3 linked regions of the Stegostoma tigrinum genome follow. The protein of the gene in region 2 interacts with the protein of the main gene of each other region in a biochemical or structural test. Links are inferred from orthologs where the notes say so. Each region holds a gene or a part of one and is shown on either strand. Other genes may lie near its edges.

Region 1 (9,862 bases), on a different chromosome or scaffold from region 2:
AAGCTACGTCTGCCCCTACACCTCCCCCCTCATTCCATCCCAAGTCCTAAGAAAACGTTCCACATCAAACAGATGTTCACCTGCACATCTGCTAATGTGGTACATTGTATCTGCTGCTTCCAATGTGGCCTCTTCATTGGGAAAACCAAGCAGAGGCTTGAAGGTCACTCTGTGGAACACCTACACTCGGTTTACGACAAACGACTGCAACTCCCGATCATGAACCACTTTAATTCCGCCTCCCACTCCTTGGGAGGCATGTCCATCCTGGGCCTCCTCCAGCGCTACAACGATTCCATCTGAAGGCTACAGGAACAGCACGTCATATTTTGCTTAGGAACCCTGCAGCCAAATGGTCTCACAATGTGGACTTCACAAGCTTCAAAATCTCCCCACCCTTGACGTCATCTCAAAACCAGCCCAGCTCATCCCTGTTTCTTTGATCCGTCCATCTCTTCTATTACCTATCCACTCCTCCCACCTCACTGACCAACACCCACCCCCACCTCCTATCTACTAGCCTCATCCCCACATCCTTGACCTGTCCATCTTCCCTCAACTGACCAAGCCCCATCCCAGCTCCTTACCTACACTCACTTTTACTGGCTCCATCCCCACCTCCTTAACCTGTCCGTATTCTCTCCGCCAATCTGCTCCTGTATTCCACCTTCCATCATCGCCTCCCCTCCCCACTTCTCTTATTTCAGAATCCTCTTCCATCCCCCATTTCTGAAGGGTCCACAGCCAAAACGTCAGCTTTCCTGCTCCTCTGACGCTGCCTAGCCTGCTGTGTTCATCCAGCTCTCCACAATGTTATCTCAGATTCTCCAGCATCAGCAGTTCCTGGGAGATAGTCTGTTCTCTGGTTGGTGCCATTAAATGTTAAGAAATTGTCCATTAAAATTTTCAATTCCTCTAGACTAAATTTTCCCATCTGATTTTTCCAGTCGACATTTAGGGTTAAAATCCCATGATAATTACTTTTGAAAATTATTTCTTCCCTGGTGCCACGTGGTTACTGTGGGGGGACCTGTACATAAACCCTACCAGTGACCTGTTTAGAGATGTTATTATGCACTTCTGGAACAGGTGGAACTTGAATCCAGGTTTACTGACCCAGAGACAGGGACACCATCGCTGCACCACACAAGCCGTAAATATTTTTCATCAACCTGCTCAAAAATATTATTACACACCTCTGCAGCAGATGAGACTTGAACCCAGATCTCCTGACTTAGAAGGAGGGACACCACCCTGTGCCACAAGCGTCCACAGGCCTACCAGCAGAAATTCCAAAGATCTGAGTCAATCCCCACAGATAGTTAGGTGGTTAGCTTGAACAAGTAAATGTTAAATAATCACCTTAACACCTGCATCCCACAGGAAATATGTCAAAAATGAGTTATGCACACATACTCAGCCACAATACAGCATCTGATGAACTTTTTTTCTTTAAAGGTTAATCAGGAACTGGCCTAGAAAGTGAACTCACACTTCTCATCTCGAACATTCCATTCTCCATTCAAACTGGCACACAAAGCTATAATCTATAATGAATGAAACCATGAAAATTAAAAGCTATCAGCTGTTAACATATTGAATTATGCTTTTCAATCAGCATATTAAGGTTTTATGCAGGAAATCCCCTCAGCCTCAATAGTTTAGTTCATAGGCAGTGAATCAGAGCATTGTTGTTTAAATTTGGCTTAAGACATTTCTTTTTTCTTAAATGTGTAATGCAAAATATTTTCTTTTAATAATTTTACCAAACAAAAAGCAATTTTCCAGAGTGTCAAAAAAGCTTAGCTCGACGAGGGACAAGAACTTACAATTGTACAGGCTGGCGGGCAACTTGAACTTTGATATCAAGCCAATGTGTCAGGGTTTTCAGTTAATTGCATTCAAAAGACATGGATTACAACAGTACATGCAGAGGTGATGTTTGCCTCTACTGTTACAGTACAGATAAACGTGGCCTTACCAAATTGTGCAACAGATAATAGTAGGCTTCTGGTTTAACATTAATTTCTGGAAGTATTGGAAATCAGAAATATAAACAGAAGGTGCCTGAAATACTTAGAAGATCTAACAGTATTTGTAGAGAGAAAAACAAAGTTAAGAATGAAAGGTCACGGACCTAAAACATTACCTTTCTCCCCCTCCCCTTAGATGCTGCCAGAGCTGATTATTTTCAGCATTTCTTTTTATTACTGTTGACTAGCAACATGTAAAACACTACAAATTAAAGTTTAAGTCAGACGCTAAATATGAAAACTTAAACTTTAGCAAACAATCAATTTTTAACAGGAACTAGTCTTCTGCAGTTCTACTCCATAGAACTGGACTCCATGATACTGTGCTCATGCAAAATGTGCAAGAATGTATATTAAGGGCAGGTTAAGCACAATTTTTTTTATTCCTGAAAATCTTGATTTGTATTTTTCAAATTAGCTATTATAAAAGACACCGCCCGTGAGATCTCCTCCAAGCCACTCACCATCTTGACTTGTAAACACATTAACGTTCCTTCACTGTCGATGGATCAAAACAGTTCAAGAAGGCAGCTCATCACCACCTTCAAGGGCAACTAGTGATAGACAATAAATGCAGGCCAACTAGCACTATCCACATACCATAAATGAATAAATAAAACAAGTGAATAAATAAAACAAAACAAATTTCTATCATGAGTCACATCCCCCATAAAGGAGTGGAAAAATAAAGTTATAAACTAAACAATGTAAACTTCTAAGATACTACAGATGTTTCAGAGATAGTAGGAACTGCAGATGCTGGAGAATGAGAGATAACAAGACGCAGAGCCGATTGAACTCAGCAGGCCAAGCAGCATCATCGGAGCAGGAAAGCTGACGTTTCGGACCTAGACCCTTCTTCAGAAATGAAGAAGGGTGCAGACCTGAAACGTCAGCTTTCCCGCTCCTACGATGCTGCTTGGCCTGCTGTGTTCCATCCAGCTCTACATCTTGTTATCTAAGTTACTAAAGACGCAAGGATATCAACGGTTGTGGTGGTTTGTGTAAGAAAATTATGTTGAAGTAGATCAGGAAGATCGGTTTCCTGTCAGTTTCAATATCTATACCATGAGGAAGCAGTAATAAAACTGCTTATTTAGTATTGTGAAAATAGGAGGAGATTTAGAAATGTACAACATAGAAAGACATCAATCATACACCAGACTCAAATTTAACTGTTTCTCATGCCTGTGTCCATACTTTGAAAAAACTATCAATTCTTCCCATGAGATGGCTTGTTCTCCAAAGACCTACAAGCTTTCTTTGACGTGGATATTCAAATATTTAAGTCACCACTGAATCTGCTTCCGCCACCTTTTTTAAGCATGGCCAGAAATAAAAACTTCAACTCCTCTCTGATTCTTTTGTTAAATTGCCTTAAATCTACGTCCTCTGTTTACATCCTTCTTTGAAATAGTTTTTCTGCTCACTCAATCAAATCCCTTCATTATTTCAAACACTTTAACAAATAAATTGCTGCGCCAAGAACAATCACAGCTACTCTAGCAGTATCAAGGGCCCTGGCAAAAACATTGCGTTTTGCTGTTTACTGTCTCACAGGTTTAAATAAGTAATTGAAAGCAGATTTTAAACTTTAACCCTACGAATTGCGGCAAACAGGAACTGTAATGCCAGTTCTATTGTCTACAAAGGCAGAGCGCTGGGAAAGCTACTGCACCTCATCACCGGCACTTAATGTTAATCTCAAAGTTTATCATTAGCACTTAGTTAATTTTTTTTTTAAAAACTGAGGATTTTCAACAGAACACCTGAAAATAAAACCGATCTGGGACTGTAGGAATAGTGGAAACCAGCTAACATTTTCTCAATTTACAACAGTTACGATCTAAGGCTTGTCACTGAACTAATAAAAACCCGTAAAAGCAGAGGGCTCGGAGGGCTGAATGCCTTTGGTAATGAAAAATTATTAAAGGCTACACAGATAAGCAAACAGATAGTTAATCTTGAATGACTCGAAAATAGAAAAAGCGATAAATATCATCACTAAAGAAGTTGTCGAAGCACGCTTACCAGAAAAAGACTTTGGAGAATATATTGGCAGTTCCCATCGGGTTGGGTTTATCCTCTCGGTAGACGGGCTCCATGGTAGTTTGTGTCTCTGAGAGACGGAAACAGTAAAGCGACTGACAGACAATACCGACACACGTTCCTTGGGCGAGCAATCACGGGCCAGGGGGTCGGAAACGGAAGCAGGTTTCGGAGCCAGTAAAGGAGGTGGACGCAAAGAGGCGGAAGCTGGTCTAACGAAGGAGAAGTTACCACGGTGATTGTGCTCTCCGATTGCTGGGTAGAATCACCTGTGTTATTGTCGGTTAGTCCGTGCTGTTGCTGTTTTAGCTTCAAATCAACACTTTCAGAGATATTATACCACATTTCTGGAACAGGTAGTCTTGAAGCCGGACCTCCTGCCTTAGAGGTAGGACTGTTGCCATGTGCCACAAGCTGCTCTATCGACTCTTTAATATGGCCGTGATTTGAACGTGCTGGTGTTGGACAAGGTCAGAAGTTACACGACACCAAATAGTAGTCTAACAGGTTTATTTGAATCACAAGCTCTCGGAGCTTCACCTGACGAAGCAGCGCTTCAAAAGCTTATGGTTTCAAATAAACCTGTTGGACTATAACCTGAGATAACAGGGTGTAGAGCCGGATGTACACAGCAGGCCAAGCAGGAAAGCTACGTTTCGGGTCTGGAGCTTGGCCTGCTGTGTTCATCCAGCACTACACCTTGTTATCTTAAATTCTCCAGCATCGGCAGTTCCCACTATCTCTCGACTATAACCTGGTGTTGTGTGACTTATGATCTTTAAAATGGCGTTGAGATCTGTAACATTAGAGTGCAGCTTCTCCCCCCTTGGAAGTGTTGGAAACACAGAATTCGCAGCTCAAGTAGATCAATGTTGTGGTCGGACTGGGTGCACAGAGTCAGAAGTGATACGACGCTGGTATAGTCCAACAGGTTCATTTGAAATCACAAGCTTTGGAAGCGCTGTTGAATCGTCAGGTGGAGTGCCTGTCAATATGTGCGATCTTTTTGGAGATCTTCCCCACTATGACACCAGTTTTTTTTTAAATTACAAGGTCCCAGAGACGTCGGCAGAAGGAGCAGCACTCCAGGAGGTTGTGGTTTCAAATAAACCTGTCGAACTATAACCTGGTATCGTGGGACAGCTAGATCTGGTAGAGAGTGGCGAAAAAACACCGTTTTGGGATAAGTTATTTCATGGGTTCTGGGCAATAAGGGATTCATCGCCCTTTCAAAACAAAGCAGAGGATTTTTTTTTCTCTCGCTGAGTCTTTGGAACTGCCTTCCTAAAAAGACAGTCGAAGTGAAGTCTTTGAATTGTTGAAGCATTGTAAATACAAATCAAAATAAGGAGAACATTTGTCTAAATCATGAATCCTGAAAAAATATAAGATTTTGAAGATTGTTGATAGAATGGAAATGGAGGTGATTTATCCCCTTGTGCGAGAACAGAGTCGCTGTTTCAAAAGCCAGTCTCGCGTATTTAATGCAGAGATGGGGTGAAATATTTCTCTCTCCGTCATGAGTTTGTAGAACTTCCTGAAAACGTATTGGTGAAAGAATACTCAACTGTATGTGTGAGACATTGTAAACGTGAATCAAAATCAATGGAAATCAAAACCATTGAAAAAACAGCACATTTTTAAGATAAATAGATAAATAGGTGTGTGCAATACGGGATCCATCACCCTTGCAAAACAAAGCAGACAGTTTCTTTAGTCTCACTGAGTCTTTGGAACCCCTTCCTGAAAAGGCATTGATCTATCACAGAACTTGAAACCGTGAAGGTTCAGTGCATTTGGAGAGAATCCTTCTCTTTGTTGAAGAATCTAGAATTAAGGGATTGCCGGTTTATGACAGAGATGAGGAGAACATTTTTTTCTCATTCATGAGTCTTTAGAACTTTCTTGTGTCAAAGGCAGTGGCAGCAGAGTCCCTGAATATTTTTAGGCTGCATTTGCAGACACCATGGAGAAATGGTGCACGTATGCATTAACAAACAGCCGTGAAGCGATCAGAAACAAAAACAGAAATTGCTTGTAAAGCTCAGCAGGTCTGATTGTTTTCTCTTCAGATGCTGAGTTAACGTTTCGGGTCCAGTGACGCTTCCTCAAAACTGATGGTGGCGAGGAAAATGAAATAACGAAGTGTGGAGCTGGATGAACACAGCAGGCCAAGCAGCATCTTAGGAACACAAAAGCTGACATTTCGGGCCTAGATCCTTCATCAGAGAGGGGGAGGGGGAGAGGATTCTGAAATAAATAGGGAGAGAGGGGGAGGCAGACCGAAGATGGAGAGAGGAGAGTATGGGTGGGGAGGTAGGGAGGGGATAGGTCAGTCAGGGGAGGATGGACAGGTCAAGGGGGTGGGATGAGGTTAGTGGGTAGGAAATGGAGGTGCAGCTTGAGGTGGGAGGAGGGGATAGGTGAGAGGAAGAACAGGTTAGGCAGGCGGGGATGAGCTGGGCTGGTTTAGGGATGCAGTGGGGGAGGGGAGATTTTGAAGCTGGTGAAATCCACATTGATACTATTGGGCTGCAGCGTTCCCAAGCAGAATATGAGTTGCTGTTCCTGCAACCTACAGGTGGCATCATTATAGCACTGCAGGAGGCCCAGGATGGAAATGTCGTCTGAGGAATGGGAGGGGGAGTTGAAATGGTTCGTGACTGGGAGGTGCAGTTGTTTATTGCGAACCGAGCGAAGGTGTTCTGCAAAGCGGTCCCCAAGACTCCGCTTGGTTTCCCCAGTGTAGAGGAAGCCACACCGGGTACAGCAGATGCAGTATACGACATTGGTGGATGTGTAATACTACATTGGCGGATGTGTAAGTGAACATCTGCTTGATGTGGAAAGTCATCTTGGAAAATGTCGGTTTATATTGCAGAGGATAGGGTTGAGGAAGGGGGTAAGGCATCAAAGATGGGTGGAGATACAGCCCAAAGAGAGAGAAGAACAGTTGGACAGACTAAGGATTGGATAACAACCTGACTGGGAGGGTTAACAGCTGTTAATGGAGACCGTTAATGGTTAACAATAGGTAGTGTGTGGCAGCAGACTATTTGAGGCCTGGTGCGACAGGTTGGGGGCTAGGACATGTGAGAGTTGGGCTCTAAAATTATTGAACTCAATATTGGGCCTGGAGGGCTGCAGATTCCCTAAGTGGAAAATGAGGTGTTGTTTTCTAGCCTGTGCTTAGTTTCACTGCAACAAGGCTCTGGGGGTGTGTTGGGAGTGACGAAAGAATGGAACAGCGTGTCCCGGAAGGAACGGTTCCTGCAGAAGGCAGACAAGGGAGGGGAGGGGAGGGGACTATGTGTCTGCTGGTGGCCTCTTACTGGAAGTAGTGAGCTGATGATCTTCTGGATGTGGTGGCATTGTAGGTAAGGACAAGGGGAACCCTATTACTGTTGCGGGAGGGAAGAGAGGGGGTGAGTGTGAAAGTGCAGGAGATAACTCAGACCTAGTTGAGGGCCCTGTCGAGAATAGTGCTGGGAAATCCATGCTGACTTGTTTTAATCTGACCCTGCACTTCCAGGAATTTAGAAATCTCATCCTTGACAATGGATTCTAGAATTTTACCAACTACCGAGGTTAGGCTAATCGGCCTATAATTTTCCATCTTTTACCTTGATCCTTTCTTAAACAAGGGAATTACAACAGCAATTTTCCAATCATCTGGGACTTTCCCTGACTCCAGTGACTTGAAAGATCACGACCAAAGCCTCCGCTATTTCCTCAGCCACCTCCCTCAGAACTCTAGGATGTAGCCCATCGGGGCCAGGAGATTTATCAATTTTTAGACCCTTTAGCTTTTCTAGCACTTTCTGTTTTGTCATGCCTACCGTACTCAACTCTGCCCCCTGGCTCTCCCTAATTGTTGGCACACTACTCATGTCTTCCACTGTGAAGACTGACACAAAGTACTTACTAAGTTCTTCAGCTATTTCCTTATCTCCCATCACTAGCCTTCCAGCATCAATTTGGAGCGGCCCAATATCTACTTTTGCCTCTCGTTTGTTTCTTATGTATTACTAGCTCGCCTACCTTCATAATTCATCTTCTCCTTCCTTATTGCTCTCTTTGTTACCCTCTGCCTGTTTTTGTAGCCTTCCCAATCTTCTGATTTCCCAGTGCTCTTGGCCACTTTATAGGCTGTCTCTTTTTCTTTGATATATTTCCTGACTTCCTTTATCAGCCATGGCTGTCTAATCCCACCGCACATAAATCCTGAGTTTCGGGATACACGCCAGAAAAAATGTCCAGGATATTGATGTGCTTTCTTATTTTTAGGTCAAGCAAAAGCGCCTTTGACACATTATGAGGCCTGGTCAACAAGGTGGATTTGAAGAAGCATTTGAAAGGAACAGGTGAGATGGAGACGGTTAGGAAGGAAATTCCAGCACATTGAAGCAGAAGCAGAAGCAAAAACCTCAGTCATTCAAACCTATTCCGCTATTCAACTGGAGTATAGCTAATTTGTATCTTTATTGTAATTCTAGGAGCTGGCTGAAAAAATCTAAAACTTGAGCGACTGTGTGAACAGCTGGGAGTTTATGTTTTCTAAGAAGTGACCAAACAGTGCAAAAATATTATTAAGCTGGAGAGAGTTCAGAAGAAATTTACCAGGATGTTGACGGGAATGGAAGGTTTGAGTTATAATGAGAGGCTGGACAGGCAGGAACATTTTTCTACTGGAGTGTATGAGTCAGAGTCACACAGCACAGAAGCAGACCCTTCGATCCAACCAGTCCATGCTGAACATAATCCCAAACTAAAGTAGTCCCACCTGCCTGCACCTGGCTCATATCTCTCCAAACCTTTCTCATTCAAGTACTTATCTAAATGTGTTTTAAATGTTGCAACTATACCCGCACCCGATTTCAATTAATGTTGAATGCCCAGTATCTCTGTGAATGGATTTCGATTGAAGTTGAAGTTCGTTCTCTCTGTAGACCCCATACTGTCTGTGCTTTGTAACCCAAGGTGTAAAAGCACTCTTGGGCCCGGGTCTCGTTAATGTCAATTGATTGTTCTTTTCTTGTGATGTGTAAATTGGAATTCCAGGCCGAGCCATCGTCCCAGACAGAAATCTCCATTCTGCTGGCTATGTTATATATTTGCTGCAGCCTGAGTCCAGAGCTTTGCCCAGTATTTTGGAGATTGGAAAATTCCAGGGTTTTAGGTGAGGGTTTTTTCTTGACCCTATAGGTTCCCAATAGGCAGCGGGAGATCATAAACAAATATGAAGCAACTTATGGAAAGATCTAAGAATAATGGTATAGTTGTTGTACACAATTTTAACTTGCCCCAATATTGACTTTGACTTCCTTAGTTCCAAGGCTTAGATGGGGCAGAATTTTTTTAGGAGCTTCCAGGAGTGTTTCTTGAAGCAATATGTAGATAGCCCAAATTAGGAAGGGGCAATATTAGAGTTTGCATTTTGCAAAAGGCCTGTCCAGGCAATCAAAGTTTCAGTGGGGAGTATTTTGGAAGCAGTGATCATAAGTCTGTAAGTTTTAAGGTTGTTTTGGATAAGAATAAGACTGGTCCTCAGGTGGAAGTGCTAAACTGGAAGACTTTTACAACGGAATTAGATAGGAATGGGAGAAATTAGATTCTGGGCAGCTATTTGAGGGAAATCCAAATCTGACATGTGGGAGTCTTTTAAATGCCTGTTGATCAGATTTCGGGAGCAGCATGCTCATGGGAGGCTGATAGATAAGGATGGCAAGATTCAGGAACCCCGGCTGCTAATTCGATGGGCATTGTGACCTCCATGCTTT
Region 2 (10,132 bases):
GTGGGGAACAGAGGAGCAGACAGGGTGAAGGATATGGAGAGGGAATAATGAGCTTTTAAAGCTGTTTCAGTCTCAGTATTTTCAATTTAGCATTAATTTATTCAGTATATTACCACTTCTACAATTTAATTCAGTAACTTATTCTGTAATCCAAAATGAGACCAGAACATGGTGACATTATACACTTTTCACCGTACCTAGGTACAAGTGACATTAAACAAATCTAATCTCAACTAGCATGGATAACTTCCATCCCTCTGTATAAAATGTGACAAGTTGGTGGCATGCAATTTCAGCAGCAACTGGCTGTGTTGCCATAACTCATTCACTGCAGGCTTCTGGACTCATGACCTACAAATATACATATATGAGTGTGGTCAGCAGCTCACAGCAGCAGTCATTCATTCCAAACCATAGACTTTCCTCATCAGATATCTGTCTGTCGTCTGGAAGACCTGGTGAATAACTCTCAGTTGACCAGACAACTTGATGTTGTTTCAGAGATAGTAGGAACCACAGATGCTGGAGAATCTGACATAACAAGGTGTAGAGCTGGATGAACACAGCAGGCCAAGCAGCATCAGAGGAGCAGGAAAGCTGACGTTTCGGGCCTCAACCCTTCTTCAGAAAAGGGCCCTTTTTCTGCAGAAGGGTCTAGGCCCAAAACATCAGCTTTCCTGCTCCTCTGATGTTGCTTGGCCTGCTGTTTTCATCCAGCTCCACACCTTGTTATCTCAGACAATTTGTTGTATTGGATATTCCAAATCTCATGCAACATACAGCATGACAGAGTCAAGGAATCCTCAAGCATTCCAAAGGCCATTTCATCCATCACATCTATATTAGAAAATATTTCCAATTAGTCTCCCTGTCTTACTTTATTCCATAGTCCCGCATTTTTTTCCAAACATACATATACTCTAGTACAGTACAGTGATGGGCTTCATTTACAACTTTTTGCATTGAACAAGCACATGTCTGTTTCCAGTGGATCTACAATGACTTATCACTGTGGAGACATTAATGAATAGCTGCCATTCTCTTTTTTTGGGGGATGGATATGTGGTGGTCATGTCACTGGAGTAGCAATCCAAGACCCCAGGCCAACGCTCCGGTAACATGGGGTCAATTTCCATAAAGCAGATGATGAATTTTGATTTCAATTTTTAAAAATCCTGGAGTAAAACCTGCACAACGGCCACCGGGTTATGACTATCAATGTCATAAAAATGAGACTGGTTCACTCATGTTGCTCAAGGAAGGAAACCTGCTGTCCTTACTTGGTCTGGATAAAAGGTGATTCCAGACCTACTGTAATGCAGTTGACTCTTGATTGCCATTTGGGCCCAGGCAGTAATGCTCACATCCTGTGAACAAATAAAAAAAGACACCACCAGGTCTTCTGGCATAGTAAAACCCAAAAGAACTGTGGATGCTGTAAATCAGGAACAAAAACAAAGTTGCTGGAAAAACTCAGCAGGTCTAGCTGCATCTGTGGAGGAGAAAACAGAGTTAATGTTTTGGGTCCCGTTCTGAGGAATGGTCACCGGACCCGAAACATTAACTCTGTTTTCTCCTCGAAAGATGCTGCCAGACCTGCTGAGCTTATCCTGCAACTTTTCCTCTTCTGGCATAGTGGTTAGTGTTCCTGTGTCTAAGCCCAAAAGCTCTGGATTCAATTCCCGTTCCAAGGCTTGATAGCCAAACAAAGTGCATCTGTAATGTTGCCAAACAGATTGGACATTAAACAAAAACAAAAATTGCTGGAAAATCTCAGATGTGGCAGTATTTGTGGAGAGAAATCAGTTAATATTTAGGTGTGGTGAGCCTTCAGAATTGATGGTAGCTAGGAAAAGGATTTGTTTTATACAGAAGGTCGTAGGGGGGTATGGGAGTAAACATTACGTGGAGATAGACCCCAAAGAGAAGGATAAACAAAGACGTGGATAAATACCAGGCTAGGAGAATAAACAGCTGCTAACGGGAACTATTAGTAGTTAAGAATAGATAATGTCTGGTCGCAGCCTATGTTATGACAAGGCCTGGTACATTTTGGTGGTGGAAAAATGAGGAAAGGTGCTCAAGTTGTAAAATTGTTGAATTTGATATTAAATCCAGAAGGCTACAGGGTTCCCAAATGGAATAATCAAATATCAACCTGCAAATCCTTCAAACACATGCCAGTGACAGATGGCAAGGGCGGGGGACATTCCTGGCCGGCCATGTGACAAAGAACAGTGGAACCTCCAACATCATTAACCATTGATCCAGATCACAACATACAGTAAAAGGTACACATTGCCAGAGCAATTCATTAGTCTATGAGAACTGTAACACAGCACCACCACAAACCAACACTGCCACTTCACTCCTCCGTCCCTACATATGTACCTTATTATGAAAGGCTAACTACGGCAACTTGTTTATGCACATGCCTTCGGTTGTATTATAGCACTTCTACAAAGTATATTTCTGGGACTTGTGCATAAGCAGCAAACATTATTGTTTTGAAAGTTTTGATGACAGCTTCACACTCCAGTGAGTAACAAACCACAGAGCACCAAGATTCAGTTCAACTCTAAGGAACTGCAACTCAAAACCTTCAAACATACTTACACTCTTCTGTTAACTCAAAGCTACAGACAGCGACTTAATTTTGATCTCAAACCATTTGGGTAGCTGTGAAACCAACACATGCGTGTTTGCATGTACCTGTGCATCAAAAAGATGGATATAAAGACGGATATAAAGATCGACTCCGCGTATTTTCAACACTAGATTTTTTTCGGACCGCCAGCAGAAATTGAAAAACGAGGTCAAGGTTCCATCAGAAAGGGAGGGTTGGAATATGGGTTAACATTTGCTTCCTGTCATCCAAAAGATATGCCAGTTGCTTCTTCCTAATATCAAGCCACTTATCCGAGCAAGTAAATACAATATTTATCTTCTAACACCGTTACTGTGAACATGCCAGTGTTGATGCAATAAGCTGTTTCGGCTCAAGCCCTGAAGTTAAACAAAGGGATCTCTGTCTGATACGTTTAGACCTTGAACAGCGTCAACTGGTCAAGGTTTAAACACCTCGAATGCAAAACTTCCTTCTCTTCTCACCAAATAAACAATACTTATCTCTCGTTTGGATTGCTATGTTTTACACCGGGTTTGGATGTGTAGGTCATGACTGCTATCCTAGCACTACCTTTTTTTTTGGGGGGGGAGGAAGGTTGGTGTTAGAAAAGAGTGTGTAGGCCTTCCCTCCGAAGGCGAGCAGAAACCAAGCCGAAAACAAATTCCAAGCACAAGCCATTTTACCTTCACTCGCCACTGATCCAGACGGCCCGCTTCTTCATCGGCTTCCGATTTAAACTTCAAAACAATCCAAAGGTTCGATCCGGGGGTGGGGGGGGGGAGAGCTGGGCTTTATGTGGTATTCAGAGCCGAGGCAGGACCAAACACAATTTCTCCTTTTTTTTAAGGGGGGGTGAATATTAAAACAAAAAAGGAAAAACTCGCGAGCTCTCAACACAAGCTCTCCGATCTCTGTCGATGGTAGTTAGACCAATTAAATCTTCTGCGCGCTGAACTTTTGCAAGTCTTTCCCCCCCCCTCTCTTTCTTCCCCCCTCCTCTCCAATGATGCAACCAAGTCTCTCGCGGTTTGTCGTCTCGAAAGTAACTTTCAGATCCGTCGCTGAATTTAGAGGTTCGCACGCAAAATAAAGTAATTAAAATGGAGTAAAAGACGACAGTGGGAGGAGAGGGGGAAAATGTACCAAGTCCTTTCAAAGCAGGAAACGGCGGGCAATCGACAGCATTTCCCAAGACTCGATAAGTCAAGAAGAAAAAAAATGCAACAAGGGAGTCAAAAAAAGTCCCCTATCGCCGAGTTTCACCTTCAGGAAGGAGCTGATGTGGTTCTTCCTCCTGCTGCAGCTTTATTTTATTAAATAACTTGCCCCCCCCCCCCCCCCAACTCCGGCTCCTTTCTTACTGTAAGATTGCCGCACCCAAATCCATCCGAAATTAATTTCTTCACCCCCCACCCCCCTTCCCTCCCCTCCGTGTCTGGCTCTGTTAACGATGCAGACAGGATCACCAACACATCGCTCCAGGTTTTCGCGCAACTCCCCAGAGCCTCAGGCAAATGAAGAGAGAAAGCAGCCAGTAGAAACCACTGCGTCCTCAGCAGACACAGCACACTGACCGAGAAGGAGGGGTGTGTGTGTGTAGTTTAGGGAGGGAGGGGAGAATGTGAAGTGAAACACAGGCAGATATGCACCGACAAGATAAAGCAACAGCGCCAGCTGTCTCCAGCGGCTACAATGTCGCCTGGGCGCCCTGATTGACATTTCAAGCAACCACACGCTGCGGCCTCCACACTCCCCTGTCAATCAGCATCCCCAGTCCCAATCATCTCCTGCTCCTGGGTCAGGGGCGGTCTCTTCCACGTCTCTGCTTTAAAGTTTCCTTTCCTCTGGTTGGGTGATTTTTTTGAAGGGTGGAGGTGGGGGGAGGGAGGTGATGGGATTGAGGATGAGAATAGGGAGGGGCTGGAGGTGGGTTTATTAATATCATTTTCCAGCACACCGCCGTCCTCATTTGCACTAAAGTTGATGCTTTGGGGGAAGTTGAGGCCGCGAGATTGTGCCAAGTCACTTCCATTGTGTCTTTCTCAATCTCCCCTCCTGCCGGTTAATAATTTCCAAAACCGGGCTGGCACGCAAAAAAAAGCAATTTACATTCATACAGTGAGTTCTGAAGAGAATAATGTAATTTTTTTTCCAGTTTGCTTTACGAATCCAAATAAGATATGCCGTTGTCTTATATATGAGGCAAACCGCTTTTGAGAAGGACATAGTGACTGACTGAAAACTCATTCTTTTGGCACAGGCACAGAGTGGAACTTGTCGCACGGATTGAACGCCATTCTGTTTGGATCAGATTCATTGTCTGACTCGGCCACCACAACATCGGTTTGTAACACGGACACCACATGAATTCACTCATTTTATTTAACACTCTCAACTCCGAACTCGCTGTACCGTGCTCAAATCAATTTTTTAAAATTCTATTCAGTAAACAAAGACCAAGAAACAACCAAGTTTTGATCATGTCGGATTTGTGCCACATCTGTGATTTTTATCACCGGGCCATTTATATTTTTTTCTGTGACAAAGTAGGATATATCTTAAAGACATTCAGACACGCAGAAACCCTTGAATCGGTATATATTTAATTGATTTCTCCTTTCACAGATGTTGACTTGTCCAACGCGTGGAATCCGCTTTTGTTTAATATACTTCTCGCATGTAAAATGTGAATAGGTATAACGTGAAACTGAGACAAGAAAATCATGAGACTGTGCAGTCCGCGTCGAATTGATTCTCGTCTGCTTTATGAAGGGAGAAACAAATACGCTGTGTTAGTAAATACTGTCGCCTGGAAATGGGAAGATTCAAATGCAGTATCATCTGCTTGTTTGAACTGCTGTGATTCACAAATATATCACAGTGCAGTGCATGTTAGGTTCTGTTTTCCCCCCAGAAATGGAACCCGTTAAGCGTTCGAAGCTGACTGTGCAGCGCAATCTCTGAGGCAGTTGCTTTGGACCAACATGCTCCTTTAGTTTCCTCCGTGTACTATGTCGTGTTATCAGAATCTGTCTTCACAACCGAGACATCGGTGCAACCCTTCCTTCCTGAATACTTTCCTGTCTGCATCCTGCATAAGCTTCTATGCACGCATAATCTCAGATCTTCAAAAAGAACTGCGCTCGTCTTGCCTTGAACCTGCGCCATCGTGTTCAAGCAAGTTTCTGTCTATCGTTTCAATGTAGCTGTACTATGAAAGCATTAAGGGGTTTTACTCCATCATTTTGTAAATCAAAATTTAAAAAGAACTATTTGTATTTACATTATTAAACAGTTTATTTGTCTCAAAGCTATAAAACTGATTTTTAAAATTAGTTTTGTGAATATAGACCAGCACGATAAGAATGTTTTTTTAAACAGTCTGACGGTAATTTCAGAAATTGCCTTTGGGTAACTTAATATTTTCAGATAGAATCTGCTGTGTTCTGTAATCTATTCACAGAATGAGATCAATGCTGACAAAGCAGCTTTTATCTCTATCCCTGCCTTCCCTAACGATATGATCGCATCGTTCTCCTTGAACTACTGCAATCCCTGTGAGGAAGGTGTTCTCGTAACCGTGTTAGACATTTAGGATTTTTACCAGGTAATAAAGTTGGGAGGATGCATTCAAGTCAGGGTAGTGTGGATAAGTTGGAACTATACCTTGGCAGTGATGCAATGCTCTGATTATTCTGCACTTTTCCCAGAAAAGGTTTTTGGAGCCAGGAGGTTCTGTCGAAATAAGCTGAGTGAATGACTGCAATGTATCTTACATGTTGAGCATGATTATATAAATAAGCACAGAAGCACATTAGTGCAGGCCCCACAAATAAAGTCTCATGCTAGTCACTGAGAGGGTGAATTCTGAGCCTAGTTTCAAGGCTGCTGACCAAGCAGATCAGGTGGGGTTGACTTGTTTGAATGGTCTCATGGTAGCAGCCAATCAGATAATTGGTTCATCTTCTTCACAATCATCACTTCAGCCCGATAGATGGTAGAGTGGCTCTGAAGTGTCAAAAGGAGATTTGCAAAGTTCTTGACCTCTGCCTTGTTCTTGTAAGCCCTAGTTTAGTATATGGCCAGTTAAGAGATGATTCAAGGTGATTCCCAAGAAAAAATGTACAGTGAAAAAATAAGATCATAAGACACCAGATCAGAAATCAACCATTCAGCCCTTTGAGCCTGTTGCACTATTCAATCAGATTATCAGGTTGACCTGATAATCTTCAACTCTACCTTCCTGACTTTTCCATATAACCCTTGATACTACTGCATTGAAGATCAAAAGGAGATGGGTGGGCTCTCTCCTGCAAAAACATAGTTACCTGGCTTTTAATTTGTTTTTGCCAGGCCAAGCCCTTTGTATTGCCCAAATCCTGCAGTAAACTCGCCTGGTTGCTTCACAAGTAGAAGGTTTGTGAATGAACAGTGGCACAGCAGCTTAGTGGTTAGTGCTGCTGCCTCGCAGCCCGAAGCATTGGGTTTGATTCCACCCGCAAGCAACAGTCTGTGTGGAGTTTGCACGTTCTCCCCATATCTGTGTGGGTTTCCTCCAGGTGCTCCGGTTCCCTCCCACAGTCCAAAGATGTGCAGTGTAGGAGGATTGACCATGATAAATTGCCTGTAGTGTTCAGGGTATGTTTGAGTCGGATGCTCTGAGGGTCGGTGTGGACTTGTTGGGCTTGAAGGGCCTGTTTCTGCACTGCAGGGATCCTGCTGTGGAAATATTAGCAAATTGTCTTCCTCCTGATTTAATTACAGGAGGAAAATCATTTATGGAATTGCTGAAGATGTTTATGTTGAGAGTACTTTGCCTGAGGAATTCCTGCAGCAATTTTCTAGAGCTGAGTTCTTGATCTTGCATAATCAAAATTATCCTTCTGTGAGCCTGGTATAACTTTGGCAAGGGGAGCACTTTGCCCCAACCCCAGATGATTTGTTTGTTGAGATCCAGTGCCATATTTGGTAACCATATAAGAAATAGTAACAGGAGTGGGTTAGTCAGCCCTTTGAGCTTGCTCCACTTTTCAATAAGATCATGGCTCGTCCAACACTCCTCATGTCAATTTTCCTATCCTTTCTCCATAACCCTTGACTCCTCTCCTGATTAAGAATCCATCTCAGGCTTAAACTGAAATGTCAATGATATTATTTATATATAGGAAGCACACAAATATGGAATCTGTTTGTTGTCCATTAAAAATGGGAATATATGTGATTTTCGCTATATAGTAAAGATAGTTATAAATTCATATGAACCAACAGATGTTATCAAACTTTATTATAACTCATGGGTACTCCAATTACTGTGATATATTGATGTTTCAGTTGGTACAAAGTCAGCAAAAACAGACTGAAAAATACTGCAAAATCTCACTTCAGGCAATGTGACATGAGGTGAGTTTTAAGGGAGTTTTAAGGGAACAACACAAATGTATCAGTACAATTAACAGAGGTGAATCAACAGTTATGAGTAAGTGGAATTGACTTGTATTTTATTTTTACAACAAAGTTCAGTAAACACAATCACACTGTAATCCACAACACCCACTTTTTTTCCTGTAATTGCATAAAATGTTAGAATGTCGAATATCATGACACATTTACGACATTTTATACAATCATGTGTTCTGGATCCAGCCAGGTTTGCTAGCTGGCTGACTGCTCCAGCTTGATTTGTTTGCTGCTGTTACATAGGAAAAGAACATTAGAAATAGGAGTAGCAGTAGGGCATTCAACCCCTTTAAGATGCATGGCTGATCTGATAGTGGTCTCAATTCCACTTGTCCACCAATATACTTACCCACCCTGTCGATTAGCACACTAGAGAAATAGGCCAGTTGACTCAGTTTGCCAGTATTAATGCTCAATACAAGCATCTTACCACCCTACTTCACATAATCTCATCAAAATATCCTTCTCTTCCTTTACTTCTATGCAGTCAGGTATGAAATGTAAATCTGGAACTCTCTCCAAAGAGGTCCATTGCAAACTTCAGAACAGATGTTGATCATTTTTTGTTAAGCAAGCTCTTTAAGGTGGTTAGATTGAGTTAAGCCACAGGTAAGCCATAATGTAATTGAATGACGGTACAGAACAGAGGGGTAGAATAACCAATTCCAGTTTCTCTATTCCCTTTAATTATTTGTATTAAATGCTCACTCTTAATAACAATCTTTTTGTACATTCTTCTGACTCTTATGTGAGGGAGATAATGTGGAAATAATTTATCATGTAAGAAAGAAATAATTTGTACTTATATATTTGCATTTTCACATCTTCAAGATGCTCCAAATTTCATCACAACCAATTAATTACCTTAGAAGCATAAGTAGTGTTTTGTGCACAAATAAAGCTAGCTAATCCATTCACAGCAAGATCCCAAAAACTACATATAGGGTAAATCCAGTTAATTTTAACAATATTGTTTGAGGGATAAATGTTGGAAAGAACAGCAAGACCACTGTTCCACTAGTGCATCCATATAAACTAGGACAAGGGACCCTGGTTTAATGTCTCATCCAAAAGGCAGCACCTCCAACAATGAAACATTCCTCCAGTGCTGTGCCAATGTCAACCTGTATTTGGAGATCAGACTTACAGCCTGACCTCAGCTCAGACGTTCTGAGTTGAAGGAAGGAGTATTACAACTTAAGCTAATTCTATGTAAGCCACAGTGTAAAAATCTCAGATAATGCATTTCCTTTTATGTTAATATTATTCCCATTAATGGCACATTCTCCAAAGCAATGACTCCACTTTGCTAACCAATCAGCACTCTCATGCAACATAAATGTAGGTTTTCCTTGTGAATTCATATTCTAGCAAATTGTCCTGATGAGTGAAAGACAAAATGTTTCAACAGAATGTGTGCATTTATAGCAATTCCCCAACTCACCACTACCAATTTAAAATATATAAAATTTTTTGCCTTCTCTAAATACTACAAACTTGTATGAAAATAGTTGTTAAAAGCCAATAGAGCTGAAGTTGTGCATTTCAGCATTCAATCAATGGACTAACAAATACATCTTAATCACATAGACTGCATCAGAGAATGAGTAGAATCATCACAAAGTCCCTGCAGAGACCTCGTATGCTGATTGTCTAGGTGTTCGACAGATCATGCGCTCACAGTAGATATTTGAGACAGCCAGTGTGGAAATTGATTTGAGGATGGTTATCATGATAAATTTCCAGTTCATCAGGCTTCAAAATAAAACGTTGTCAATCAGATCAGTTCTGAACCAGAATGGTGGAAGATGCTTGTTAATGAGCAACAGACCAACTTTACCCACGCCTTGCAAAAATGTAAACAATGCTCAACTTAACTTCACTTTACAGTACTGTCACCTAGATGGCACAGCATTAGAGATAAAAATTAATGAATTTGTCTTTAAACTCACTGTTATTTTACAACCACTGTATGTTATCTATGCACGGCCATGGATCATACATTTCTGATAGACTTAAATTTGACTTAAAACCATGTATATAAGA
Region 3 (10,381 bases), on a different chromosome or scaffold from region 2:
GGTAGTGGGTGAGGAGGGGTAGGTAAACAGAAGAGAGTAAATTTAAGAAAATCATTTTGAAGATACTGTTGGAATATTTATTTGTGAATTGTAACTTTAGAGTAACAAATATATTATTTGCAAAATACAGAAAAATAATTTCAACAAAATAACATTTGGAAAGTACTTGCCTGGAAAAATTTGTAAAATTTTGCAGTGTATTCTATATTTAGAAAAATAATTGAGTTTAACAGAAAGTTATGCCACGAACACACACAATCAATTAGCCCTGTGTCAAATGAAGATTCAAGCTTCTATTTCACTACACCAATGGAACTAAACCATTTGGCATAGCTGTAGTTGCCCCTTCTACAGTAAAATGGCAGAATTGTTTAATGGGATTGATCTGATTTCAGTTAGTGTAAGACACATTGCTGTATGACCACTTTGCAATGTTCCTGAGATTTGTGAAACAATGGTACTTGAAAAACATTTATTTTTACATGAAATTTGAAAAGATTTGTAAGATTAAGCCAGAATGAAAGTTAGGTGTTATAGTGCAGCATGATATTTCTAATTCCTACACCATTGCTCTGAATCCAAACAAAAAAGTCCTCATATGGGATGTTGAGGGATTTGAACTGTAGTCATTGTCATCTGCTGGACTCTTCACTCAATCAAAAAAAGGTACTTTGCGTGTCCTCTGACATTTTTGAATTCAAAAATTTTAAGTGCTGAAAGACCAATAATGTAACCAGCAATTTATTGCATTTTCCTTTAGAATTCAAAATTGCAAACTGGAAATATTTTATACAATATCCATGAAGTTGAAGAACAACTAATCAAATATAGCATAAGTGAATCATGCACACTGAACATAACTTTAATGGTGATTAATTTTCTGTACCATGGACACCTATAGATCTATTTGGATCATTGCACGAAGTGGGCCATAGCATCTTATGTAGTTGCTTCTCTTTGAGTTTGCTTCTCGATCCTTATCCAAACTAAATATAAATTTATATCAACAGTTCATAACTGTTAATCTTAAAACATTATTAAACTAACAGCCAGTAAACGACGCAATAGTGATATTTCAATTTGAACTGCAATGAAAATACCTGCTACCCACATAAGTAAAAGGCATGTGGTCGCACACTTCTGTGTGGACAAGCAGACTATGACACCATTTCATCACTGCAATGCTAAACCCAGTGACCTAAAATAGTTCTTCCTTTACTCTACAGGACGATCTCACAAACTTAGGCATGCTGTATCTGATAAAGTCCTATTTTAGAAGTTGAAGTCATCCAATCACACTTCTGAAAGTCTACGTAACATATCACAATACCTTAAAATCAGCACACATTTACCTGATGCCAAATAAATTGATTTCCATTACCCACATTAATTTTAAAAAGGCAAAATTTCGAGAATCCTACAATTAGTAACTTGAAAAACAGTTTGTATGCAAAACAAAATAATGCAAAACTTGAGCAAAGAAAACAAAATACTAACCCTCTCAATGACCACTGCTGACTTTAGAAATGGCCTCTGAATAATAGATACAGTATTTTCCAGTTGTTAAATATATTTAAAAATCCTACAGAAATATGAAATCTAAATGTTAAACATGGGTTGCTGGCTACATTCAGGCTTAGAGCAGTATTAGCCATTGTAAATGCAGTAAGTTAAGCATTGCAATAAACTACTTGCTCAGTTACACTTAAAAAGCTTTGAAATTATTGCTCCTAGAATAGCCCTTTTAGTAAATGAAGCTTTATAATTTATGCATAGTATGCTATTTCAAATTTTCAGCCTGAATTCTAAAGACACACATTAAAAAATAAACCTGTCTGCCAATTTTGCTAGAGTGAAAAACGTTGAGCAAGTCTCTTGTACAGCCACGTTTCCCACCACATACCTCCAAAAAGGATCTACTCAAAACACAAATCAACCATAAAGAACATTGCCTCGTAAAAAAAGTTACAACTGCTATTCAATACTAGAAAGGTCAATGTTCGCCATAGAAAACAATTAATGAATAAATTCCATCAGATATTCTTAATTATATTCGATAATTGCGCTGGAGCCTACTTGCTGAAACAGGGAGGTTCACATCTGGTAAATTCACACGTAGTTTCTTTTATAAACAGCTAAATTCGACAACAGAATGCTGGCAAAGCCAATTTAGCATAGATTTTTGTCAGCACTATTTTATATTATCTTTCTTATTATACAGAAGCACATCATTCACAGTTCTGTTACGGCAACAATTATTTTCCACAAAAAAAGATCTGGACATCAAGATTACATACATCAAAATATTTCACAAATGGAGAATGTTATAACTGACTACAAAAATGGGCATCAGGCATCTGTATTGTATTAATCTATAACCAGCTTTTTCTTCTACACTAAAACATTTTGGAAAAAATACTTTCTACAAGGTGTCAATGTAGTCATACAAATATTGCACACTTGTGCCTTCTGCAGACCAAGATAAAAAGAGAGCAAAAGGAATTTACAAAATGAAATGCCCAAGAAACTGCCAGCTCACTACCGTAAAACATCTGACAACAACTTCCAAATAGTGATTAAGTCGTCTAATGACTACGATTGAAAATAAACACTCAATACTCAGAAGATGCGTAGCATAAACCAGCTACGTGTCATGGACTTTCATCTCATCGACACAAATTTTATACATTTAACATTCACATGAAATGAAGAATTGGGCTTTGCACTGTGCAAACTGTATAGTTTCAACACGAATATTGTTTTGCTCGTTATTCTGCATAAATGATTGCTGTGCAAGTAGTATAAAACTCAGAACACAGTAATATTTCCTAAATAACAAAGCAGGCGAAGCTCTGAAATGAAAATGGACCACTCACGATGGCTGCTGTTACAAAGCCGATCGTGAAACCTTTAAAAAAGAGTACATAAGCACTTCAGATTAAATGCGACCTTTTCACCAACAGGTCTGCATTTGACGATATCTGCAAATCAATTTTCTGAACAAAATTGCAATGTAACTTGTTACAAAACTTTAATTAAACAGGCGGAGATGCTTTGTACAACTATCGCTTCATCTGTCATCTTTTACAATATTCATAAACAATTACTCTCATGGGACGGGGAAGGATGAAAAGGAAGGTACAGGGAAAAATGAAAACTTTTCACCTTAAAATCACTAAGGATCTTTGTCGTTCAATACAAGGACTGATTTTCCACTTTGCAACAGATTGCAATAGGAACACCCATTTTTTTCAGTTACTTTTTTTTTAAAAAGTGTACTTTGAAGGGGTTGATTTTACTAAGTTGTACAAATTTCACGGAAAAAAATTGTACGTAATGAATTTAAATCGAACGTCACTTATAGTTTAAGACTAGCAATACTCCGGAAAAAAATGAAACCAAAGTCAACCCTTGGCCGTTTATCTATGTATTTAGTAAGTTTGCCTTTATTCCGATCAGTCACCTTGAGCTTGTTGGTATAACATTACAAGTAAAACACCAACACCGCACTACAGAAACTCAGCACATGCACGCCACAAACTGGCTGAATTTACTCATCCAACAGCAAATAGATTGTGCCAAATTACGAGCTTGCTTTTTTTTGCTGCGAGGTTCGATTGCAACATCCACAATTTTAAAAAAATCGCATGCTATTTAAGATTTACGTGCGTGAAAGACTGGTTTAAAAAAATTCTGGGGTAAGAGAGCCCAATAAAAACTATCACCTACCTGAGGAGCACGAAATCAGAAAAACAGCAAAAACAAGCTTGGTACCAGCTCCCATGATTTTTTTTATTGATATGTCTTCTTTTAAAACAAAAACCGATTAATTAGAACACAACGATCGCTGTATCGCAGCCGAGGGTAAAAAAATCTTTACGACTCCACCACGTCTTCTGACTTGCTGCTGGCAGCGATCCACCTTGTAGCAAACGTTCCCCCTTCTTCAGTGGGCAACTTCATTCAAAAAGGTAGGGAATTTAAGCGATAGCATACACTTCGGCTGTCAATGTTTTTTTGTTTGACAAAATACATAGACGTGTAGAGCCGATAACGCCAACAAGGGATGATTTGGGAGGAAGAAAAAACAGCCGCCATTCACATAAAAAGTAGAGGGTGTGGAAGAAAACATACGATGCAAACCCTCAGCTCCTTTGACGGGAATGGTGTACTCGAAGTCTCCCGGAATTCATAATTAACGAAGTAGGCCTAAGTCCAAAATGGCGTTGAATTGTTTTTGTTTCCTTCCCCCTACCCACCCCCAACCCCCGCCCCGAGGTGGATTTCAAAAAAAACGGCAGTACGAGCTCGCGAACAGGCCCTCCTCCTAAACAGAGCAAAAGCGAGAAGCGGTGGGGCGAGGCGGTTTACGTAACCCGATTGGCATCGCCCATCACCAGTCACAGCTCCGCCTGTCTCAAGCGTCAGTGTGATTGACGTCCTGTGAGACCAGTAGAAGACCTTCACTGCATTGTACAAATTCGCTTCCACCCTCCTGCGAAAAAAAGGCGCGTTTATTATTGGATCCTGACCAATCCCCTTCCAGCAGGTAGGCGTGACTGCATATATGTGTGTGTGTGTTTTTTTTTGGCGGGGGATGGGGGAAAAGATGTGGAGCAAAGCCGGCAAGTTGGTTGAGGCGAAGCGTTCAAACCTAGCCTGATGGTAATGACTGACGTGCGCTTCCAGCAATCGAGAGCTGCGGCTTTATTAATTGGGCGAGGAAGTTCCAGACTTGCCGTGCAAATCCGATAAGAAGAATTTTGCTAATTGGTTGGAAGCGATGCGCAAGATATGTAGAGTGGGTAGGGTAAAAGCGCATGGTGTCGGAATGCAATCCGACTCCAAAATAGTTGTAACTTTTCGCTGATCTTAGCTTGAAAGGTCCTTGAAGTTGCTGCATCTTTCATTGTTGCACCTGCCTGCTGAGATGCCCCAATGTTCCTTCCCTGCTTTAGTCGTCTTGTTAGCCAAGTTAAAGGCTAAGCTAAGTCAGTATTCGGGGTAATAAATATTCTTCGAATAGCAGTCTCTTGTCGAAATATATTATTTCCGTGTCAGCCCAATGTTGCGGCTCTCTCTCTCCTAACAGTGAAGGTGAGGGCTCTGAGGGTGACATATCAAATTAATTAGTACCCAGTCGTGAGTTTGCAACACAGTCCACTGTTTTAAAGACTTCGGTATTGTGATTCATCCGGAACTTATTTTAAACATATGTTATTACTGTTTCGGAGTTTCTGATGGTGCATGCAATTAGAATTTTTGTCACTTTGGTGCACAGTCACGTACTTCATATGTAAGTGGCAAACTCCACTTCTGAGTTATTTTTTCCGGCTACCGTCGCCGCTCGCTCGACGGAAGAATGTACTGATGGTAATTGTAATTCTTCGATTTACTCAGCGAGTAATTGAACAAAGCTCCTCGATAGTGATTCATAAGTGCTGCTCAGAAATGGTGCACGTGTTACACAAAGTTTGTTCAACCTGAAAAATGCACTATGCACTAGGTAAACTAGCCCCCCAACAATCAGTCCTTCAAAGCTTAAACTAATTTTTTTAAAAATACCGTTGCACTCTGATTGCACCTTTTCAAAAAGTGCAATTCAATTCTAATACTCCGACCTGTAGGAGTGGTATGGGCGAACTGGTTCGGCTGAAATATTTTTCTGCGTCGATGGGGTGTAATGGTTTAAGGTCTCATTAACTTGATCACCAGCAACATTGGTGACCAATCACGTAAAAGAAAATCGGGTCGTAAAATAGATAACCTTAGAATGACGACAGTCAACTGGCATAATTTGGCTGATAAGAAACATTCTTTTTACCTCGATATGTTTGTCTTTCTGCCAACCCCACACTTGTCACTCCTACTAATTAAACCTATTCTTATCATTTGTTAAAACTTTAAATGTAATACCTTCCCACATTGGACCTACACTTCCTAAATCATCCTCTGGAAAATGTTATGGCGACTCCTGCAACATTGTCTATCAAGTTTCTGCGCCAAGCAAACTACTTGCTTCTCATTCCAGTAATGGTAATTAATGATATGTAATCCCGCGCCACTGACCCCAACCTGAGAACTGGTCTGTCAGCAGTTTGAAAATCCTCCGTAACGTTCAGAATAGTGAAATTCTGATAAAGATATAGGCAACAGATTTACTTCTCTAGTCGGATTGCTACATTCGAGTTCAATGTCTTTGATTTCCATCAAAGCTTTGAACCTGCAGAGGGTGCCTGGGTTATCACGTTACGCGGGGGAGAGAAGAAAGTCAGGTTCAGCTGTGCCTGGTGATCAATTAACTTGATATTTATGAAGGCTGATACGTGGATAATGGCTTCTTGAGCTGGTATGAGACAGCAGCTGCTACCTTTTTAACAGGGAGTTAACAAGCGTTAAGAAATGAGAAGGGTGAGGAAAACAATTCATGGGGGAGGGGAGCCTCAACTGCTATTTCTATAAATAGAAAACAAGGCTTTTCTTTCAATTGAGCTATTATTTGATTATTCTTTTAATCTTTAATGTTTTGATGAAATCTTGTGGGAAATTCAACATGCATTCATGAATATCATAATTAAGATGGAAAAGAAGGCAAATATTTTAAAACTGTTAACTTTGGGATTTTTTTAAAAATCCAGTATCTTGTGTAGAGTTGCTTTTTTGTTCTATGTAACAACTCAGAATGCAAAATGGAAGCTGACACCATTTGACAATAAAACACCGATAAATTTCAATCTTCATTATGACCAGTTTATTTACAAAACACTTATGAAGTTTTTTTTAACCTCATCCAGTTTTCTTCCTTCCTTTCTTAAAGTTCAGAATACATCGCCTCCAGGGATTATGTTCCTCAAGGTACTGGCCACATTCTGGTGTGCCACTTTAAATTATTCTTTAGATCTGAGTCAAGTCAGTTTGGAAACCAATCAATCTTAGACGCTGTCACTGCTTAATTCAACAACAAAAATTTGCATTTTATCTAGTGCCTTTAATACTGTGTGACCATAACTGCTTTTAAGTGAATGCCAGATAAAAGCAGTGGTTACTGGACAATGATTAACAGCAGTCAAGAGTGATGATATTGCCTGCTAATTCATTCAAACCCATTTCACTTTGTTTTCTCCATTCATTTATCCCTGCTTGGCATAAAGGCTATGGAATCTCATTGAAACATTCAGAATACTGAGAGATCTAGATAAGGGGGCTGTGGTAATGTTTCCAGCAATAGAGGAGATTAGGACCTGAGAGCAGGGTCTCTGAATGAAGGGAAGACCCTTCTAAACTGAGTAAAACAGGAATTTTCTTAGCCAGAGGATGGTGAATCTGTGGAATTCATGGCCACAGAAGGCTTTGGAGACCAACTCATTGAGTGTATTTAAGACCAAAATAGGTTCTTGATTGATAACTTCTGAGGCCTGCGATTTGAATTTTAGTCATGGAGGGGAGCTGCTGTGTAGAGATTCTGTGTATATAGAACTATGGTGTTGTTACAAAGTTGGAATTAGTGATGTTTTTTAAGTTGCAATATTTCTATGAAAGCTTATTTGTGATTTGTATAAATTATTTCAAACTGAGGGGTTAATTACATTTTAAAATAACCTAAAGATTGATAATCCTTATGAATAAGGGCTATCATTGTGCTTTTACCTTCTATTGTAACACTTCACATTTCTTGGGAAATTGTCAGGTAGGTTTGGCATGACAGTATACCATCAGAACCAAAATAAAATTGAGATGTAATCTTTTCAATGCTTGAAAGCAATTTTAAATCTGCAGCATTTTTAAATAACACGTGGTCAGAGCCAATGAAATGTTTCATTAATGCCTGTAAATGTTGAGTTTGTCAATGCAATGTTCCTGTAATGGTTAAATTTTCCTTTGTGAAAAGGAGCATAAGATATAAACATAGGTGAAAATGCTAGAAGCACTCAGCAGGTGTGGCAGGATCTGTCAAGAGAGAAAGAGCGTCAGTGTTTCTGGTTTGTATTTTTCATCAAAAACCAGACCAAATCAACACAGAAAAGACATTTTTATAACAGTGAAAAAGGGTGCTATTTGGGTTGACCTCCTTTATTTGTAAAAGTGAATGTAAATAACAATGGTCAGATCTTAAGTCAACTTTTTTGTTACCATATTCTCTGGTCACTGACTGATAAGTATTCAGGGCTCATGTAGTGAAGCAAATTTTTCCCCACACATTCCATCATCATTTCTTCATTTCAGTTCCATAAAACAACCAAATGTACAGTTTTATATAACCAAGAAGTGAGAATAAAAGTGCTGTAATGACCAAATAAAAAAATAACTTGGTCTGACTTTGTAAAAATTACAGAACATAGTATGCCCCTTGAACAAAATTTTCCTACTATTGTTATTGGCGGAAGGCCAGGAAAATAGTGGAAACTATGATGTGATGGCATCCACCTGCATTGGCAGGATAGAGTTTTTGAAGGGACAAGGTGAGAATAGGATTGACTCTCAACAGTGACGGCAGCATCCAAATCTAATCTTCCTGAATACTACTTGGAACATAACTAAAATAAAAATGCAAATAATTTCAAATGGTCATCTTCTCTGATACTTGCAACTTCCATTTTACACATTGCATCTATTGAAATTGTGTGCTTGCGTTTAATCTTCCAGAATGGTGGGACCTTGGGAAGCAACAAGGATCAGAAAGCATTTGAATACATGTACACCAGTCTTTTAATATGTCTGGACAGGTGGATGATGTGAAGAAGATGTACAGTATATCTGCCTTCATTAGAAGAGGCATAGTTGAAGAGCATCAAAGATATGCTGGAATGTACAAAATAAATTGGTTAGACCACAGGTAGAGTATTGTGTGCAATTCCGGTATCCACACTACAGGAGAATGTGATGGTGCTGAGGAGATTCACCAGGATGTTGCCTTGGCTTGAGAGTTTGAGTTCTGGAGGGAGACTGGTCAGACTGGAGTTTTTTTTGAGACTCCAAATTAGATTTATTGTCACGTAGTCAGGTTACAGAACAACAGATAATGGGAATTGCAGATGCTGGAGAACGCAAGATAGAAGTGTGAAGCTGGATGAGCACAGCAGGCCAAGCAGCATTTTAGGAGCATAAAAGCTGATGTTTTGGGCCGAGACCCTTCATCAGAAAAGGGGGAAGGGGAGAGGATTCTGAAATAAATAGGGAGAGAGTGGGAGGCGGACCAAAGATGGATAGAGGAGAAGATAGGTGGAGAGGAGAGTATGGGTGGGGAGGTAGGGAGGATGGACAGGTCAAGGGGGCGGGATGAGGTTAGTAGGTAGGAAATGGAGGTGCAGCTTGAGGTGGAAGGAGGGGACAGGTGAGAGGAAGAACAGGTTAGACAGGCAGGGACGAGCTGGGCTGGTTTTGGGATGCATTGGGGGGAGGGGAGAATTTGAAGCTGGTGAAATCGACATTGATGCCATTAGGCTGCAGGGTTCCCAAGCAGCATATGAGTTGCTGTTCCTGCAACCTACAAGTGACATCGTTATGGCGCTGCAGGAGGCCCAGGATGGACATGTCTAAGGAATGCGAGGGTGAGTCGAAATGGTTCGTGACTGGGAGGTGCAGTTGCTTATTGTGAACCAAGTGTAGGTGTTCTGCAAAGCGGTCCCCAAGCCTCCGCTTGGTTTCCCCAATGTAGAGGAAGCCACACTGTACAGTGGATGCAGTATACCAGATTGGCGGATGTGCAGGCAAACATCTGCTTGATGTGGAAGATCATGGGGCCTGGGATAGGGGTGAGGGAGGAGGTGTGGAGGCAGGTGTAGCACTTCCTGCGGTTGCAGGGGAAAGTGCTGGGTGTGGTGGGGTTGGAGGGGAGTGTGGAGCGGACAGGGGAGTCACGGAGAAAGTGGTCTTTCCAAAAGACAGGCAAGGGTGGGGTTGGAAAAATGTCTTTAGTGGTGGGGTCGGATTGTAGATGGCAGAAGTGCCGGAGGATGATGCATTGTATGCGGAGATTGGTGGGGTGGTATGTGAGGACTAGGGGGATTCTCTTTTTTTTTTGGCAGGGGCGGGGTGTGAGGGATGAGGTGCGGGAGACACGGTTGAGGGCGTGTTCAACCACTGCAGGTGCGGGGGGTTGCGACCCTTGAAGAACGAGGACATCTGGAATGTGTGGGAGCGGAATGCCTCATCCTGGGAGCAGATGCGGTGGAGGTGAAGGAATTGGGAATATGGGATGGAATTTTTGCAGGAAGGTTGGTTGGGGGAGTTGTATTCCAGGTAACTCTGGGAGTCAGTGGGCTTGAAATAGACATAGGTGGTTGCCTGAGATGGAGACAGAAAGGTCCAGGAAGGTGAGGGATGTGTTGGAGATGGTCCAAGTGAACTGAAGGTGTTGGTGAAATGGATGAACTGTTCAAGC

Evidence for each region. The genes of interacting proteins can lie anywhere in the genome.
Region 1: the proteins of erbin (region 2) and abcc4 interact in a test that uses a peptide from one of them, tested with the Homo sapiens proteins (2 studies listed by BioGRID and IntAct). The link is inferred for Stegostoma tigrinum from reciprocal best matches to the Homo sapiens genes ERBIN and ABCC4.
Region 3: the proteins of erbin (region 2) and acvr2aa interact in a test that uses a peptide from one of them, tested with the Homo sapiens proteins (2 studies listed by BioGRID and IntAct). The link is inferred for Stegostoma tigrinum from reciprocal best matches to the Homo sapiens genes ERBIN and ACVR2A.

What each region holds. Positions count from the first base shown.
Region 1 is NC_081359.1:44,660,587-44,670,448, reverse strand, and holds the start of abcc4 (multidrug resistance-associated protein 4), read right to left. Parts: upstream 4,258-9,862; 5' UTR 4,139-4,257; coding exon 4,065-4,138; intron 1-4,064. UniProt on the Homo sapiens protein: ATP-dependent transporter of the ATP-binding cassette (ABC) family that actively extrudes physiological compounds and xenobiotics from cells.
Region 2 is NC_081356.1:111,629,405-111,639,536, forward strand, and holds the start of erbin (erbin), read right to left. Parts: upstream 3,967-10,132; 5' UTR 3,313-3,966; intron 1-3,312. UniProt on the Homo sapiens protein: Acts as an adapter for the receptor ERBB2, in epithelia. By binding the unphosphorylated 'Tyr-1248' of receptor ERBB2, it may contribute to stabilize this unphosphorylated state.
Region 3 is NC_081360.1:83,445,816-83,456,196, reverse strand, and holds the start of acvr2aa (activin receptor type-2A), read right to left. Parts: upstream 4,258-10,381; 5' UTR 3,785-4,257; coding exon 3,730-3,784; intron 1-3,729. UniProt on the Homo sapiens protein: On ligand binding, forms a receptor complex consisting of two type II and two type I transmembrane serine/threonine kinases.